2 linked regions of the Lepisosteus oculatus genome follow. The protein of the gene in region 1 interacts with the protein of each later gene in a pairwise test. Links are inferred from orthologs where the notes say so. Each region holds a gene or a part of one and is shown on either strand. Other genes may lie near its edges.

Region 1 (8,184 bases):
AATGTATTGAGAAAAAAACATAACCAGACTGTGTTATTAAAATTGATATTATGTGTATTCAGGTTTTGTAAGGAATATTGTGTCCTTTCTGGACACTGTTTTTCTGTTGTAAAGTAACAGTCGTTCTGTTCATTAAATAAGAACTGAATATTGTGAGTTGTATGAATATAAGTCAGATATTAATGTTTTGCAATACTTGCATTTAAGCATGGAATATGTATGAATTGTTACATGAATAATGGCTAAAGAATAAACGTAATATTTAGTTTTGTTGATTTATGATTATTAAATGACAAGAAAACAGTTTTCTTTACAGCATATACAGTATACAGAAATACTATAACTCATAATCATTGGATGATACAACTCTCAATACAAATTATTTTTTTGACATTCACTTGAACAACTGTGAGGTATTGTGGACATACAATATATGTTTCAGAATGAAATTATAAAATAAAAAGTGTAATCAAATTTGAGGAAAGTAGCCTCTTAGACATACCATATGCTTAAAATTGTATGGTGATAATCCGTACCTGTAATCTACATCCACACTGGAACAAGATGATGTGATACTGCATTTATTTTTCATGTTCAACTTTACCATTCAAATTATGCGTATTTAAGTACCACATTTTAACATAATCGACTATAAAAGTCGAAAACTATTTTACAGAAAAACAAACCTGAACCAGCTTCCCCTTAACTTTACAGAAAAAAAACAAACAAACCAATGTCGGCTGTTTCAATTACTATTTTAATTTTCCCATCGATATCCGAAATTCTTCTTAGCGTGTCAAAGTCAAATACTTCTAAAACAGACCGAGCTGTACCAAAGTGTGCTGTTTGTGCGCTGTGCGTCATCGTTTGCAAACATACAATAAAAAGGGACGTCACGCACGCCAGGTTACAAAGAATATACATTAGGTTAAAAATAGTCGACAACTGAGGTGAACCACATTATAACGATTATACTATCTTGTTACGTCGTTTTTAAAAATCGCTGGAGGTATCGAATTCAATGCTTATAAGATTGTAAGACGTTTCCGAAGTGCTGTAAAATAGCGCTGTTTAGCTCTTTGAATTTGCAGATGTACCGAATTACAAACTTGGTAGATGCACATTAAAATATTGAATGAGCGGGGACTTTCAATGGGAGAATTCTTCAGGAATCAATACCTCGCCTTCAACGAGTCAACGAGCAGGACTGATCACACACGAAAAACCAAGCTTTCCAGCGTTTGCGTCTAAAACCGTCTCTCAGCACATGCCCACTTTTATCAAGTGTCGTGACGTCATAAATCCGCGAAAATACAGCATGTTGCTATCTCAAACGAAACCATAAAGTAGGCTGTACCAAGCCTGCAGTAGGCTGTACCGAGCAGTACACGTGGGAAGGAAATGGAACATTTTCTCATCTAATTTATTAAATCATGTGCTGTACGTATCAAACGCAATACATGAAAAGAGGTACATTTTCCAATAGTTGTTGATTTAAATTCCAAATAAGCATAGATGTCAGGTTAAACGTTTCAAACCCGAGTCTTTTGAAGCATAGACTGTGGAAATGAAAAAAAAAATACTATAAGACGGCGAGTAATGCTTTTTATATGATTTTATTTCACCGACAGCTGTTCTTCTACGTTGTTAAAACTATACTTTGTGTCATTTAACCCCAATTGTCCATATTTGAAATAGATGCGCTGAACTTCTTTCCCCTGTTTCTGGAGGGGGGATAGCATATGGCGTACTTTTATCTTCGAGCCTAGACTGTTAAACATCTGCTGTCTCAAAAATGTCATTAAATATGAAAAAAAAGCATTCATGTGAAGCCCCTGGCACGTGAATGAATAGTAAAATAACAATAAAATCGCATCATATTTGTTACCTGAGTCACTGAATTGTGCTGGGAAACCATTTTTATCGGTTTGCCTAATTTACAGATAAGATCATCCAATGCCTTAATGAATAGATCCACAGGAAACGTAAATAATCGCATCGTGATCAACTCATACGATACAAATCCTTGCCGTGTAAACAGTGGGGTTTTATGTATCACACAGGCACAGACATCATATAGCCTTTATACATACATGGAGTAAAACACAGGACTGCTGCGTTAAGGGTTCAAGTTGAAAAGGTGTCGGATTAGTTTTGGTTCATTCCCACTTAGCTAAACAGAGAATCACAACATTTAGGGGGCTTTCTTGTATGAAACCCCTTCTTTTTTCATGTTCACATTACGATTTAACTTAAGTTGCTATAAAGCGCGTCGTAACTCTTCAAATGTAAGGCACAGTGGGCACAGTACAGTACTGTTGTAACACAGCAATAGGATGGAGCAGAGCTAGAATTATGCTAAAAAAAGAGCCTATAGCCACTGAACTACTGCATTGAAAATGAACGGGAAGCTTGTATTCTGCCACTAAATTGCCACTGAGTGCTCCTAAGTCGCTTACTCAAACATCAAACATTTCTAGTATCATCTTATTTTATTCCATTTATTCCGTGTTCCATTGAGAACAATGACGATGAACTGCTAACTGTTCAGGAAACACCTTGGTCAATTGACGTGCAAAAAAAAAAACACGTTGATTTGCATCCAACCCTTTAAAAGCGACTCTTTAAGATGACTGTAAAAGTGTCACTATATATAAAGTCGGTAAAACACAGTCGTTTTAAGTCAAAAGTGTGTTTTCTAAGGAAGTCTCTGTAGCGCGTGATTTAAGATCTGATGAATCCGTTCATGCTCTTTGCGAGACGGTATACTGTAGACTGTACATTGTTCATTAACACAATTGAAACATGAAACAAGTTAAAAGGCGAAGCTTGAGACTCGGTGTGGTGGATCCCACAGATTAAGAAATCGACTCAATTAACCGGCTTAATTTTGGCATTTCTTTCACTTTCCTTTCCGAACGGAATATTTAAAGACAAGGTACTATTTCGTTTAGAATACCCTCGCGATAAATGGCACAATAATCGGAGTATGCCTGAGTTTTATGTGTCCCTGCGCTCTGTTGTCGGAGTGCATTGATGTGCGCATTAGATTATTGCTTAATCTTATGGGTAATTAATATTAAGGTTATTGTAGGTTCTCCTCCTAGTAGCCTGAGAAGGAATGCATAAAGCCAGTAGTTATTCTGCCCGGTAACAATCAGCGTGCTGCGGACGCGCGCAGAAGAGCTATTGGCTATGCAAATAGAGACTGGGGGTGGAAACAATCTAGAAACCAAAAAATTCTTGTTTAAAGAGACATTTCCCACTTCATGAAAAGCGTTGAAGCATTTGCTCTGGTCGCTAATGTTTTAAAACTGCAAAAAAAAAAAAATGAGAGAGCCGTCGTTGCAAACTCTAGACATATGTTGCCGAGCTGGTGGACCAAACTGATCTTCATCCAAGCTTTGGTTGTTGCACGCTTTCTAGAGGTATACATGTGCTCAATAATGTACACTCGCGGTGTACTTTAAATGAATATGTCTTTTCAAGATGAAGTGGTTTGCCTCGATGATATTATTAACATAATGTAGTGTGAAGCTACCAGAACCGTGCATTATTTCTACCTTTCTTATCCAACCCAACTCGCAGGCTTTGGAACAATAGAAACGGAACTATTCTGCCACTATTTCTCCAATCCCCAGTACAAAACCCTCTTCTTATACATGGGTTTCTTCGTGTATTTTATTGCTGGAGCCGTACCAGAGCTCGAAGTGTTCAGATGAATGGTCTCGTATATGGTATGATCCAATGTAAAACTCAACAGCTCAAGGCTGAATCTTGACAGGAAATGGATATCAGAAATATAGGGGTTTCTATGGATTTTATATTAATTAACTGGTGTACATGAAAGAATGAAATGGCATATATATATATAATCAAGCTAGATTGTTCAGTTCTGCCATTCGCTGCTCTACCATCTATGGTGTTCTTCTTACAGTGAAATTTCATTTAGGAAACCCTAATTGTAACTAAATGAAAGCCAAAGAAAATATCCGACTTGGAAGTATGCTTTGAAACATCCTCATTTTTTTTCATTCATTGCACAAATAAAACCTGAAAATCTGCTGCCTAGCAACTGGTGGAAGGCTTAATAGTACTATCTATAACAAGCCTATACAACGTTTCTAGCTCGCCATTTCCTAGAAAGCTATCTCACCGACCACAAGAGTTGTTGCTATATAAAAGATAGTTCTGGTTAGCTCTTTTTCATGGGGGTGGGGAGGAAAAGAAAAACGACACAGTCGTGCAGTCAGGAAGATGAAAAAAAAAAGAATTTTATATATCCGAAGAGCGAGCTTTCTGAGTTTCCCTGTAGTTTCTGATGCACGTTTCCAGGCGTCTAGAAAAGTCACCAAAATAGCTACAGCCTATATATAAGCAACAAATAAAACTGCAAACCTTACGTTTTCGACCTTTTCAACAACTGAGGAGTTGTTTCCCTGTTTCCATCACTCGGTAGTTGGTCTGCAGAAAATCCTTCACCTCTAAATTCTCTCTCGGTTTTTTAAATGCAGGTGGTGTGAAAAAAAACCAACACAAAAAATATCGTTTTACACACACACAACCATAATTCACCGTCAAATTTCATATGAACGCAATATTCCCGTTTTTTATGGCTTTTTACACTTTTTATGTGCGTCCGGGGGTCTTAAGATGTGTGTTTGCGGGGGGGTGGTTGATGGGGGGGGGGTGTTTTAGATCAGTCATTTGGTTATAAGAATTAAAAATTATATCCATAAAAAGGTGTCATTTTGTACCCTGTCTGGGGGCCTCTGGCTCCTTATTAGCTTACTGAACAAGAAAAAAAAAACCTTTGATGTGTGTAGTCTGGCCAACTGTTCTACATAATAAGAGATCGGCCCTGTTAGCTTGCGTCACTCTGCCTTCAGTAGGCTTCAAAACGAGAGCACAAGTTAAGCGAAGAGCAAGAGGGATAGGAGAGGGGGAAAAAAGTTTCAAGGGAGGCAGGACTCGGCTGGATAGTCCTGCAGTCCCAATTATATGTCTCTAAAATACTTTATTTCCAGTCGTTTTTGTATTTTCTATCATTATAAATATTTAATAGATAATAAATATATATATTCTTAAAGCTTAAACCATGGAACTCCTTTGCTACGAGGCGGACACCGTACGAAGAGCTCATCCAGACCCGAATCTTCTGTACGATGACCGGGTTTTGCAAAACCTGTTATCCATTGAAGAGAGATTTTTACCCCAGTGTTCTTATTTCAAATGCTTTCAAAAGGATATTCAACCTTTTATGCGGAAGATGGTTGCAACTTGGATGCTTGAGGTTTGTACTGTATGCAGGCAGAATTGCATTGTAACCCACACCTCCTTCTAAAACTTTTAAAGCCTCGTTTCGTGCTTAATATCACTGAACTTTCAAGCTCAAAATGAAGAAGAGTCTGTTTTTTGTTTTCCGACGAGACTTTCCCGGAATTACACGTGTCTGTGTTTTTTAAATACATTTTATGCTGTTCTGTGCGGAGAGCCGAGGCGTGTTCTGAAGTTCTTATGTTCAGAGAGGAAAGCTGATCAGAAGGGGTTTATAAAACTGAACAGAAGGCTGTCTGTTTCGAATAAAAGTGATCATCGGGGCCCTGAAAGAGGTGCTTCGGTGATTAATTTTATTTTTTCCTCGAATAAATATTTCCATGCACACGTATGCAGTTCAATACGTACCCCCATCCTATAATATAACGCCATGTTGGTTTTGAACTATTGAGGCAGTTCGTGTTTTTTTCCGACGGGTTTATCACTAACTAAAACGCGATAACAACTATTAAATTAGATATGTCTCAATAGGAGAAACGTTGAACTTCACTGTCCTCTTAAAACTGACCCCGGAAAAACCGGACATATTTTGTATATTTTTTGTAAAGCATTTGTCCGCAACAGGGGTGCGGGCCCTTAACTCCTCTTTTACTTTCTATCCTCTCTCCAAAATCCGCCAGCCTAGATTTATGTTCGATATTTGACCATCGCTTGGACATTTCTTATCTTTTGTGGTCAGAAAATGAAGTTAACCCGTTGTACTTTATTTTCGTATAAAAAGTGTTCATGTTTTCACTCTGTGCGATTTTATATAATTTTTTGAAATAATTATTGCGGTTCGGCTCCCAGACGTTCAACGGCGAACACATGACACTATGCTCTGATTTCAAAGTTTTTATCGTGTTTAATCTCGGTTTCCAAGCGTATCAATTGTCGGGAATGATGTGGGAAGCCTTTGCGAACATTTGGAAGTGAAAATCCGGGGTCTAGATATTTTTTTAATATTTTTAAATATTTTCTGAAAATATGACGAAATGTAAAAAAGAGCTCCCGAAGTCTGCTGCATGGGTGTTTTTTGGCTGGGGTGATTGTGACTTGAATTCATTTCTTACTGAATGAACCGAAGGAATGCGAGTCTATTGACAGTCTGTGCCAGAGACCTTGTTCCAACCTTCAAAAATAACATATCTGGACGTTATCGATAATATTGGCCCCTATATGGTCCGGATCCGCCCGTTGTAAAAAAACAACGATTTCTAACGAAATATAAAACACGGAAATTATATTGTCTATCGAGATTTTGAAGGAAAACAAGTTCAGTTTATCCTTTAAGTACCTTTGTATTTGATTTAACAGGTATTTGAAATATTGGAATCTATAAAACTTGTTATACCGAAGTTTGCGTGCCCTGTGTTTTTGTTCATCCGGCTATTCGTTCTCTCTTTTTCTTTAGGTTTGTGAAGAGCAGAAGTGCGAGGAAGAAGTTTTCCCTCTGGCTATGAACTACTTGGACAGATTTCTAGCAGTGGTACCTACCAAAAAGTGTAATCTGCAATTATTGGGAGCGGTGTGCATGTTTCTTGCGTCAAAATTGAAAGAGACGCGTCCATTAACTGCAGAGAAACTCTGTATCTATACTGACAACTCCATCAAACCACAGGAGTTGCTGGTAAGCAACAGTTTGATTCTGCAGAAAGTTCTTAAGCTCAGTTTGAGTAAATTCTTTATCAAATATAGACGTCTGATGAATTTGAAGAGTTTTAAAAATGAAGGTTTTTGAAGTATAGAGTTTTAAAATGGAATAGCTCACTATATCCTGTCTGTATCATTTTATTTTTTTTGCACTTTTTCTGATTGCGTATACCTGTGTGTGCGTTGCATGTCTCTCTTGTGTATTTCTGTATATGACAGTGTGTGTGATCGGGGGGTTAATTGTAACGGTTATTACATATAGATTTATAAATGCCATTTTGATCCCAGTCACACAATTAGGCATTTATAACTAGAGTTATACGCACAAATAAGTCATGCAAATAAGAGCAGCATTTTCCTTTTCGAAGTCCGATGTATTGGGACCATCAATCACGTGGAAGAAAACATGGTGCGGTGAAGCTAAAAAAAACAAGGCTTGGAGTGTTTTTGTTGAGGCGGTCTTTATTGCCATCTAGCGTTAGATATTCGGAAGTCTTTAGTGGTGACTTCAGTATTGAGTGGAAGCCAGTGTCTGGATTCCAACCTCCCGGAGGTGGATTACGGAAAAGAAGGACGCCTTGAATCTTGTTCGCGTCACAATATTCAGGATTAATTCTTTAGGACTAAAAATGGGTCGATAAAAATAGCCCGCCACGTTAAAGTGGTGCACGGCTTACTGATTTGGATTGACAATCGAAAGAGAAGTCTAAGGGACTTTTTGTTTGTTTAGGGTTTGAGCTCGCTGTCGTCAAAACCCCCGTTTGCCGACGAAATCTACTAAACGTTTGTGGCAGCAGCTGAACCGTAATTAAGGTCTGGGATGTTTGTTGGGTTTTTGTTCTACAATTAGTTTAGCTAGTTTCTTCATATCTTTAAATTCCGCCCTACGGATTTCTTAATGTCACGCTGAATGTTTGCCTGCTTACTTCTGTGGCCAGAGTATGAAAGGGCAGGGCCAGTGGTCAGTGGGTGACCTCTAATTTCTGAAAATAAGCCAGAACTTTTCACCTGATGAGCTTATTAAGTGGATATGCTCCGTTTATCGGAAATCAAGAGATAGAGGGCTGTCTGGGGGTAGTTCCATCTGATTGCATCAAGCGATTTTTTGAATAGGGAATACATCTCATATGGCTACAACAGTTAACCTCTTGAAATGGAATGTGGGTGTTGTAATGTTCTTCACTGGGAGCTATAACTTCAGTTCCTGTGATACAA
Region 2 (7,392 bases), on another chromosome or scaffold:
TCTAACTTTAAAAACAGTACTATTCAGTCTCATTACTTTAAAGTTACATCCAGTACTGTATGTCATATCACACACCCTAAAGATATCCACTGTCATAGCTACTTGCTCAAAGATCCATGATCCATGATCCATGCCACCTAAATCTATTCAGATGCTGTTCTAATTTGGCTCTTATATTCCATTACTTTCCATGTACAGTAACTGAGACAACACTGATTTGTCTAATTGACAATCGAAGTACATTTCCATTTAAATTCACAGGGTATCTAGCTTCAGTGTCCTAAATTGTGGATACTTTGCAACACCTGAATATTTTTAACCATTCCAAATTCCTAGTGACTTTTCATGTTTGCTTATAAAGAGCATAAATGATTAAGTGATTATCAGTGCATTGCTGTTACATGTTAGTTTAAGAGCCTGGATTTGTCACTGACTAATTTGGTAGTACTCAGAGCAAGTGACTTAACCTCTCTATGCTGTCCTTTAGATGACATAAAATCAAGGTCCTGTTGTAAATGACTGCAGTAAATAATGATGCAATGTTCACCCAGTTGTTTCTGAAAGATGGACGAAAAATGCTATTAAGATGATGATGCAGTATATACTTGTGCTTTGTAATTCAAAATATCCTAAAATATTCAAATCCAATTTTATTTTCAAGTATATAACATCCCCACAATATTAATATTGAAACATTATGTCAGGGACATATTAATATTGTTTTGTCTTTCATCTTTAATAAATATGTGTCTTTAATTATATAAAATCCAGTATTAGAAGACTAGTTAGTGTTATTAGTTAGACTAGTTATTAGTTAGTTATTAGTTATTAGTTAGACTAAAGGTATTTTTAAATGTAAACAGTCCTGCTCATTTCCAGTTCTCTATTATTAGCTTAAATACCAATTTAGACAGCGATTAACTCATGATGGACATTTAACAACTTAAAAAAATACACAGTGACTTCGTGTGTATTTAAAATGACTTTTCAAGTAATTGTGTATTACGTCATATACTGTATATTTACATTAAAACATGGACATTTATTATACAATTCTACTAGTTACTTTTATTGGTAAAACAAATGAGTTTCTGTCCTTCATATGCATTCAAAAGCATTTTCAAGAAGAAAATAATTTCTTGATATGATTCTTTGGTATCAAGTTCTTTACTTTGTTACAATTATGTCCTGCTTTATGAGACAGAAAAACCTTTCATTATGGAAAAATGATTGTGTTTATTTTAAATCGTCATAGAGATAAATATTTAGATAGGCAAGGGTGAGGCATTGAAAGAACGGCAAATCAGAAAATGCTATTACTATTTATTACTGTGTTATTTAAAAAAACATCCTCTTTTCTCTGCACATTTATCCAGTATATAAAACACCCTAATCTATAATTATATAAACAGATATAACTGTTCCTATCCTTAGATACAAAAATAAAACTTGAAGTAGATAACTTATATCAAGGCGTTTCATTTAACTGCAAGACTCATAGTTCACTAAAATATTTTTTCATGTATTACTATGTCACAACATATAGATATCTGTGCTTTTCTAAGAATATTTTGTAGTAAAACAAAGCATTTGTCTGTTATTGCCTAGTGATAAATAGAAAACATTATTCACAAATTATTATGAAAGCCATGGTTACCATGTTACTAGCTCAAGTTTCAATACTGCAAAGCAAAAAAAAACTTTAATTGCCTGCTGAAAAAAAGAAAATAATTATTTCAAAATAATTTAAGAAATGTTTAATTTCGCATCCATGTTCAGAAATGACATAATTCAGAAACTATTTAGAATTATTGAATGAGGTATTCAGGGAATTAATGACATTAACAAGAGTGTTTGAAATTATTGCTATGTTAATATACACTTTTACTAAAAAACTATTCTTTACATATACATTAAAATATATTATTGATATTAAATATGCTATTTTCACTGGGTTTTTTTCAATCTAGTTCGATCTCATCTGCAGAATATATTTTTAATTGCTTCTGACAGAAGGTTTTCAGGCTCATCATTATGCTGTTCACAAGTAGAGAATTATTTTCTAACGAGAGGATTAGCCAATCCCAGTGGATCTGCAGCCCATGCAAAAAGGAGAGGACTCTGTCCTCCTCTATCTTTCGGACACCAGGAAAATCTGAAAAACCTTCACTTTCGCAAAAGATTTGATTAAGTCAGACTACTAAACAGAAGGCAGTCTGTGGAAAGGGTGTCAGAAAGACAACACATGGAAATGAAATGGGTGATATTGAAAACTTTGACATGATCATCATTAATCCTGGGGAAACTGGGAAATGTTATTAAAATAAAAAGTGACAAAACAAAAGACACTTTTACACACTTGCTCAATTCTACTTGCACATATTGTTATGTATGTAGGTGTTGGAAACCTTTATCTGATTTTCATTTAATTTGAAGAACATGTAGTGAATAATATATTGAAAGTCATCAAGCTCTTTTTTAACTGTTTTTTTTTTTTTTAGTTTTTGTGTCTTTGCAGTTTGTAAGCTGAAAAAGTAAAAATAAAGCGATTTTTTTCTTGGCATCCAAAAACTCTCACCCAAATCACAAAAACAATGATCATATTGATATTTTTATTTTAATTATCAAACAAGATGTGTTTTAGTGAGACATTGTGCTGTATTACAGAACAGCAAGTGTATAAAAAAGTGTGTTTTTTTCCCAGTGAAACCATTTAAAATCATAACGGTTGCTTTTGGAACAATAATGCAGTCATTTTCTTGTGGGGTAACAGAAGCATTAACATGAAGTTATAAATTATTATATATTATTATTATTATAAAGTCAAAAACTTTAATTCTTACTTATTGAAAACATACTTATGGCAAGTCTTTACAAAATAGCTTTTCAAATACCTGGAAATTTTAGATTTGTTTTAGCTCCATTCCTGTAACTACTTTCAGTTTCTATGTACTGTATATAATTCTTACTTTTACTGGATATTACAGTATGGCAGTTTCAGGGTTACTGTCTGTGTTATGTCGTGGTGTACACAAACAAACTTGAAATGTCAAGGAATTCCCTCACCAGCTTCATGGTAAATTTTCCGAACAATGGAAAGTTACTAACATTTTGTTTTTCATTTTCAATTTCCATTCACTTTTTAAAAAACAGAAATGCTTGATTTGATTTTGTCAAACATGTTTCAAGATAATTACCTGACCATTAATCATCAACTGTTGTTATAAATATAATTACTCTGGGATCAATGTAAGCAGTTTTCAATGTTTCTTTGCAAAGTTCCAGATATCAGATCATCATACATCAGTGGCACCCTTGTATTAAACATCTGGCACCATTTTTTTACTTCAGCAACATTTAAATGTTTTATTATTTTAGACTTTTTTCAGCCAAGTAAATTACGAAACAAAACCACAACCAAAACAGACTTGTTCCCAGAGAATGATAGAACAATTTGGTATGTCTTTGTAATTGAATTGTATCAACATAACACTGAAATAATTTACAAAGTTGTTTAGGTTATTTATATTCATACTGCATAATATACTAATTGTAATATTAACCATCTAGACAAGGAAAATTGTAAGAAAAAATCACAACTTCAAATTCTGTTAATGTATTTATTGCATGAGATATAAGTTCAGGAAAACTACTCAGCTACACTTTAAAAAGTTTTAAATAGATGTGTGTACAGAAATTCCTTGCATACATATTTGTCTTTCATTTTTTTTTTGTTTGAGCTCCGTAAGCAGCATGTAAATAAAAACAACAAGTACAAATTACAAACACAAATCCTTACCAGTTTTCTGATCATTTCATCCTATTCAAATATTGCAGTAAGTACATGAAAGTATAAAGCTTATATATAACATGGTTCCTATTTATATAAAGCCATACTGTCTACAAAACAGCTGCAAACTATTTAAACTGTAAGGAAATGCAGCTAAAGTGCAATCCATTTCTTTTCCAGGCGATTTTCTACATCTTAGGTTTTTACCCATAAAACTGTGAAATGGTAACTTTTAAAGTATTTGCCTTTAATAGTGTACTGACCTTTGGGAAACTGAATTTCAACAGCTGTAGCAATTTTCCACGAATTACACTTTTAGCACAACGCGTTAATACCCCCTAAGTCATATATTACAAAAATATTACTTACCAATTACAGAATAAAGGGGGAAATGCTGTATATAGGCAAACAAATGCGCTATTAAAGTTACATGGCGTGAGTGGAACGTCTTTAAACTTCATCTTCAAGAGAGACAGCAGATGTGAACTTTTCATATACAGTTACAAACATACCAACACAAATCCTAAACTATAAACCCAGCTCTCCTCTACAGACATTTGCAGATGTGTCTTTTTCTTGAGGGGGGGGTGGAGGGCGATGACCTGAAAACCGAACCGAAACTGCAGCGACAGAACTGTCTTTCCTTCTCCGAGGAGTCGCCTTTAAGGGTATGCGCTGATGATATTCGTGTCCCTATTTTGGCCTCTTAAAGTTGCTGTTGTTGCTGCTTTCCCTTTTAATAACGCACCAAGACCGTCTCCCTGTCCTAATTGAGCGCATCATCCACCTGATTTCATTTCGGTTTCCCGTTATGAACATAACATTTTTTTTCGTTGGTTGTGCCGAAGTTCTTATTTTGCGTGTAACTTATTTTTATATTGGGAGAATTTATGCTCTTAGACCGGATATTTAGGCATCGCGTAGTATTCTGGGTACCGATACTGAAATGTGCGACATACCTATTGCATATATTTTTGGTCTTTAATTCTCCAGAAACAGACATTATCCCACGTTAGAACCGGCGTAGCGATTGTGAGTATCCGTGTAATAAAGCCAGAAATGGGTGTGAAAAGTGACAATACTGCAAAAGGTTCTTCATCCCGGCTTGAGGGGTTAAAAAACGGAACGTTGTCTTACATTTGTTAATTGGTATGTATACAACTTTTCCTCTGATCAGGGGGTGCATTTTTATAGTCTGCCAAAGAAATAATGTTATATAAAGTCCATGTGCTTTGTTATCAGAAACAAAGTAGTAGAAAGTGAAAGGCGCCCCGTTGGCGAGTTGTCTTTTTTTAAAACACTGTTAAGAATTTCTGATCTTTTTTTTCGTATTTTTATGGAGCCCCAGGCTTGCGTCTATATATAGACTGTGTTTAGTCCCATCAAATTACAGGTATCCAGGTAACCGACTAATTTCAGCAGAACATTTGGTTATAGTTTAAAAGAAAGTCGTTTCTGTGTTTAAATGCCAGGTTGCATTACAAGGGCATTGCTATCAAATATGCTGAAATATTTGCCGCAATTTAAAAAAGCTGATCTGAATTAAATATCTCTTGACACTAACCCAGTGTAGTGCATGGGGGGCATTGAACCTGAGATCTGGGATGACAGCGAGCCTGTGTCAGTCTCGTTTCCAATACAGCATTGTGCACAGAGGAGCTTTGAAAAGCTTGGTACATCGGCCAGTGCGTCCAATAAACTTTGTGGCCGCCCAGCTTTTTTTCCCCTGTGGTGATCCCTGCTTTTGACACTGAGACAAAAAGAGAGAGAGAAAGAAAGAACTTAAGAATGCAAAAGAAGCAAGGAGGCATAGAGAAAGCAGAAGGAGGCGGTTTTCCTTTGTAGTCACTGAGGAATGCGGAAATGTTCCTGCTCTATGTCAAACTTCTCTGAAGGGGGTCAAGACACATTCAGCCTGCGTGGGAAAGGGAAAAAGAGCCGGAGCTCACAGACAACATTGCATATTCTGGAATAGGACAAGAAAAGAAAGAAATTTCGCTAGGAAAAAAAAAAAGAACTTTGCAGTTTAAAGGGTTCATCCATACACTTTGATCTCAAAAAAGGTTTTGCACTTCCACTGTTTTTCTGTGTGAAAGACGAATACCCCCCCTTTTTTTTTAGATCTGCCTGAATTGCTGCTGCTGGAGAATGGGGGTCCCAGCGTTCACTGTTTCTCTACCTGTGTGGCCCTGACTAGGACAGTAAGGGATCTGTGAAGTATTTGCAAACTTCCATTCACAAAGGACGAGCTGGTTCATCGCAGTTTATAAAGGACGTGCAGAACGTTGCGTCCTTGCGGAATTTTCTGTCCTAAATGATATCGATCAGGTAACTTGATGTCATTGGATGACAGCGTAAAATGTTTGTGCAATTAATTGTGTATATATATATATTACATTACATTCATTAAACGCGCACACAAATGTACACGTACCTTGGCTGGTACTTTTGCCTTTAATGTTCTGTTTTGAGAATTGTGGGGTTATTCGATAAACTGTATAAAGATGCTGTAAATACGGAGGTGTGGTTTAATAAACTGCATTTTTAAAGTGGTCGATCAGAGCCACGTTTTAAGAATACCACGTCCTGCATTTGTAAAGAATGTAGGAAAAGGGACTTGATTGCATACGGGCTGATCAGATGATAACTTGGGCTTACTGCTGGCTTTTTAAATTTATCGAACAATACCATGCACACGGAGCCACGTGCTGAACCGAATTATTTTTAAGCAGCTCACATTTGGAAAGCCTAAAGGCGAAAGAGGTGGCTGTAAACCTTCAAATTTGCGCTATTGAAATATTCAGTCTGATTTATTTTCGTCTTTTTTTTTAAATTCAAATTCTAGTTCTCGGGAACAAAATAGAAACATGTACGAAGCGCACCTCTGGTACGCTTCTCCGTCACTTGCATTGACAGTATGAAGCTCTATTGTAATATGTGTAGCTGCTGTGCAAAAGCTTTTGAATTGGGGAAGATGTGAGGAAGACTCGAGCTGATATGCAGAACAGCCTAGTGGGAGTGTCAGGTAAATTCAAAGAAGATCTTATTTTAGAAGGGGCTAAAAGAAAGCCACATATCCTTTACTCTGCACGTTTTGTGGATGTAACGTTTTTTTTTCTGATCGACTAATGCGCTTTTTTTTTCTTCTGCTTTTCTCAAACAGACTTCGATGATGCTAGATCTGCTCTTCTGATGATGTCTTCTTCGTAACATTTCAAGGTGCCTGACGGGGTTTGTCAGATTAGTTGGTTTGTTGTTGTTGTTTTTTTTACAAAGTTGCAGCACGCTGTAAAATGGAGAAAGACAGTCTGACTCAACAGTATGAGCCTGTTGCTGAGATTGGGGAAGGGGCGTACGGAAAGGTATACAAAGCACGGGATCTGAAGAACGGGGGCCGTTTCGTTGCCCTTAAAAGAGTCAGGGTGCAAACCGAAGAAGAAGGAATGCCACTTTCTACCATCCGCGAGGTGGCGGTCCTGAGACAGCTGGAGTCCTTCGAGCACCCCAACGTTGTTAGGTAAGGGGGAGGATATCTGAGTTGGGAGATTAGAGGGGGTATCCCCAAAGCTGCCTGCATCAGCTGGATTTATGAGAATAATGAT

What was found.
Region 2: the proteins of ccnd2a (region 1) and cdk6 interact in a two-hybrid assay, tested with the Homo sapiens proteins (2 studies listed by BioGRID, with this or other methods). The link is inferred for Lepisosteus oculatus from reciprocal best matches to the Homo sapiens genes CCND2 and CDK6.

Annotation. Positions count from the first base shown.
Region 1 is NC_090702.1:6,802,548-6,810,731, forward strand, and holds the start of ccnd2a (G1/S-specific cyclin-D2a), read left to right. Parts: upstream 1-4,894; 5' UTR 4,895-5,098; coding exon 5,099-5,293; intron 5,294-6,730; coding exon 6,731-6,946; intron 6,947-8,184. UniProt on the Homo sapiens protein: Regulatory component of the cyclin D2-CDK4 (DC) complex that phosphorylates and inhibits members of the retinoblastoma (RB) protein family including RB1 and regulates the cell-cycle during G(1)/S transition.
Region 2 is NC_090705.1:4,900,262-4,907,653, forward strand, and holds the start of cdk6 (cyclin-dependent kinase 6), read left to right. Parts: upstream 1-4,392; 5' UTR 4,393-4,458; intron 4,459-4,554; exon of another isoform or gene 4,555-4,822; intron 4,823-4,831; exon of another isoform or gene 4,832-4,939; intron 4,940-5,342; exon of another isoform or gene 5,343-5,911; 5' UTR 5,912-6,118; intron 6,119-6,468; exon of another isoform or gene 6,469-6,815; intron 6,816-6,953; 5' UTR 6,954-7,083; coding exon 7,084-7,307; intron 7,308-7,392. UniProt on the Homo sapiens protein: Serine/threonine-protein kinase involved in the control of the cell cycle and differentiation; promotes G1/S transition. Phosphorylates pRB/RB1 and NPM1.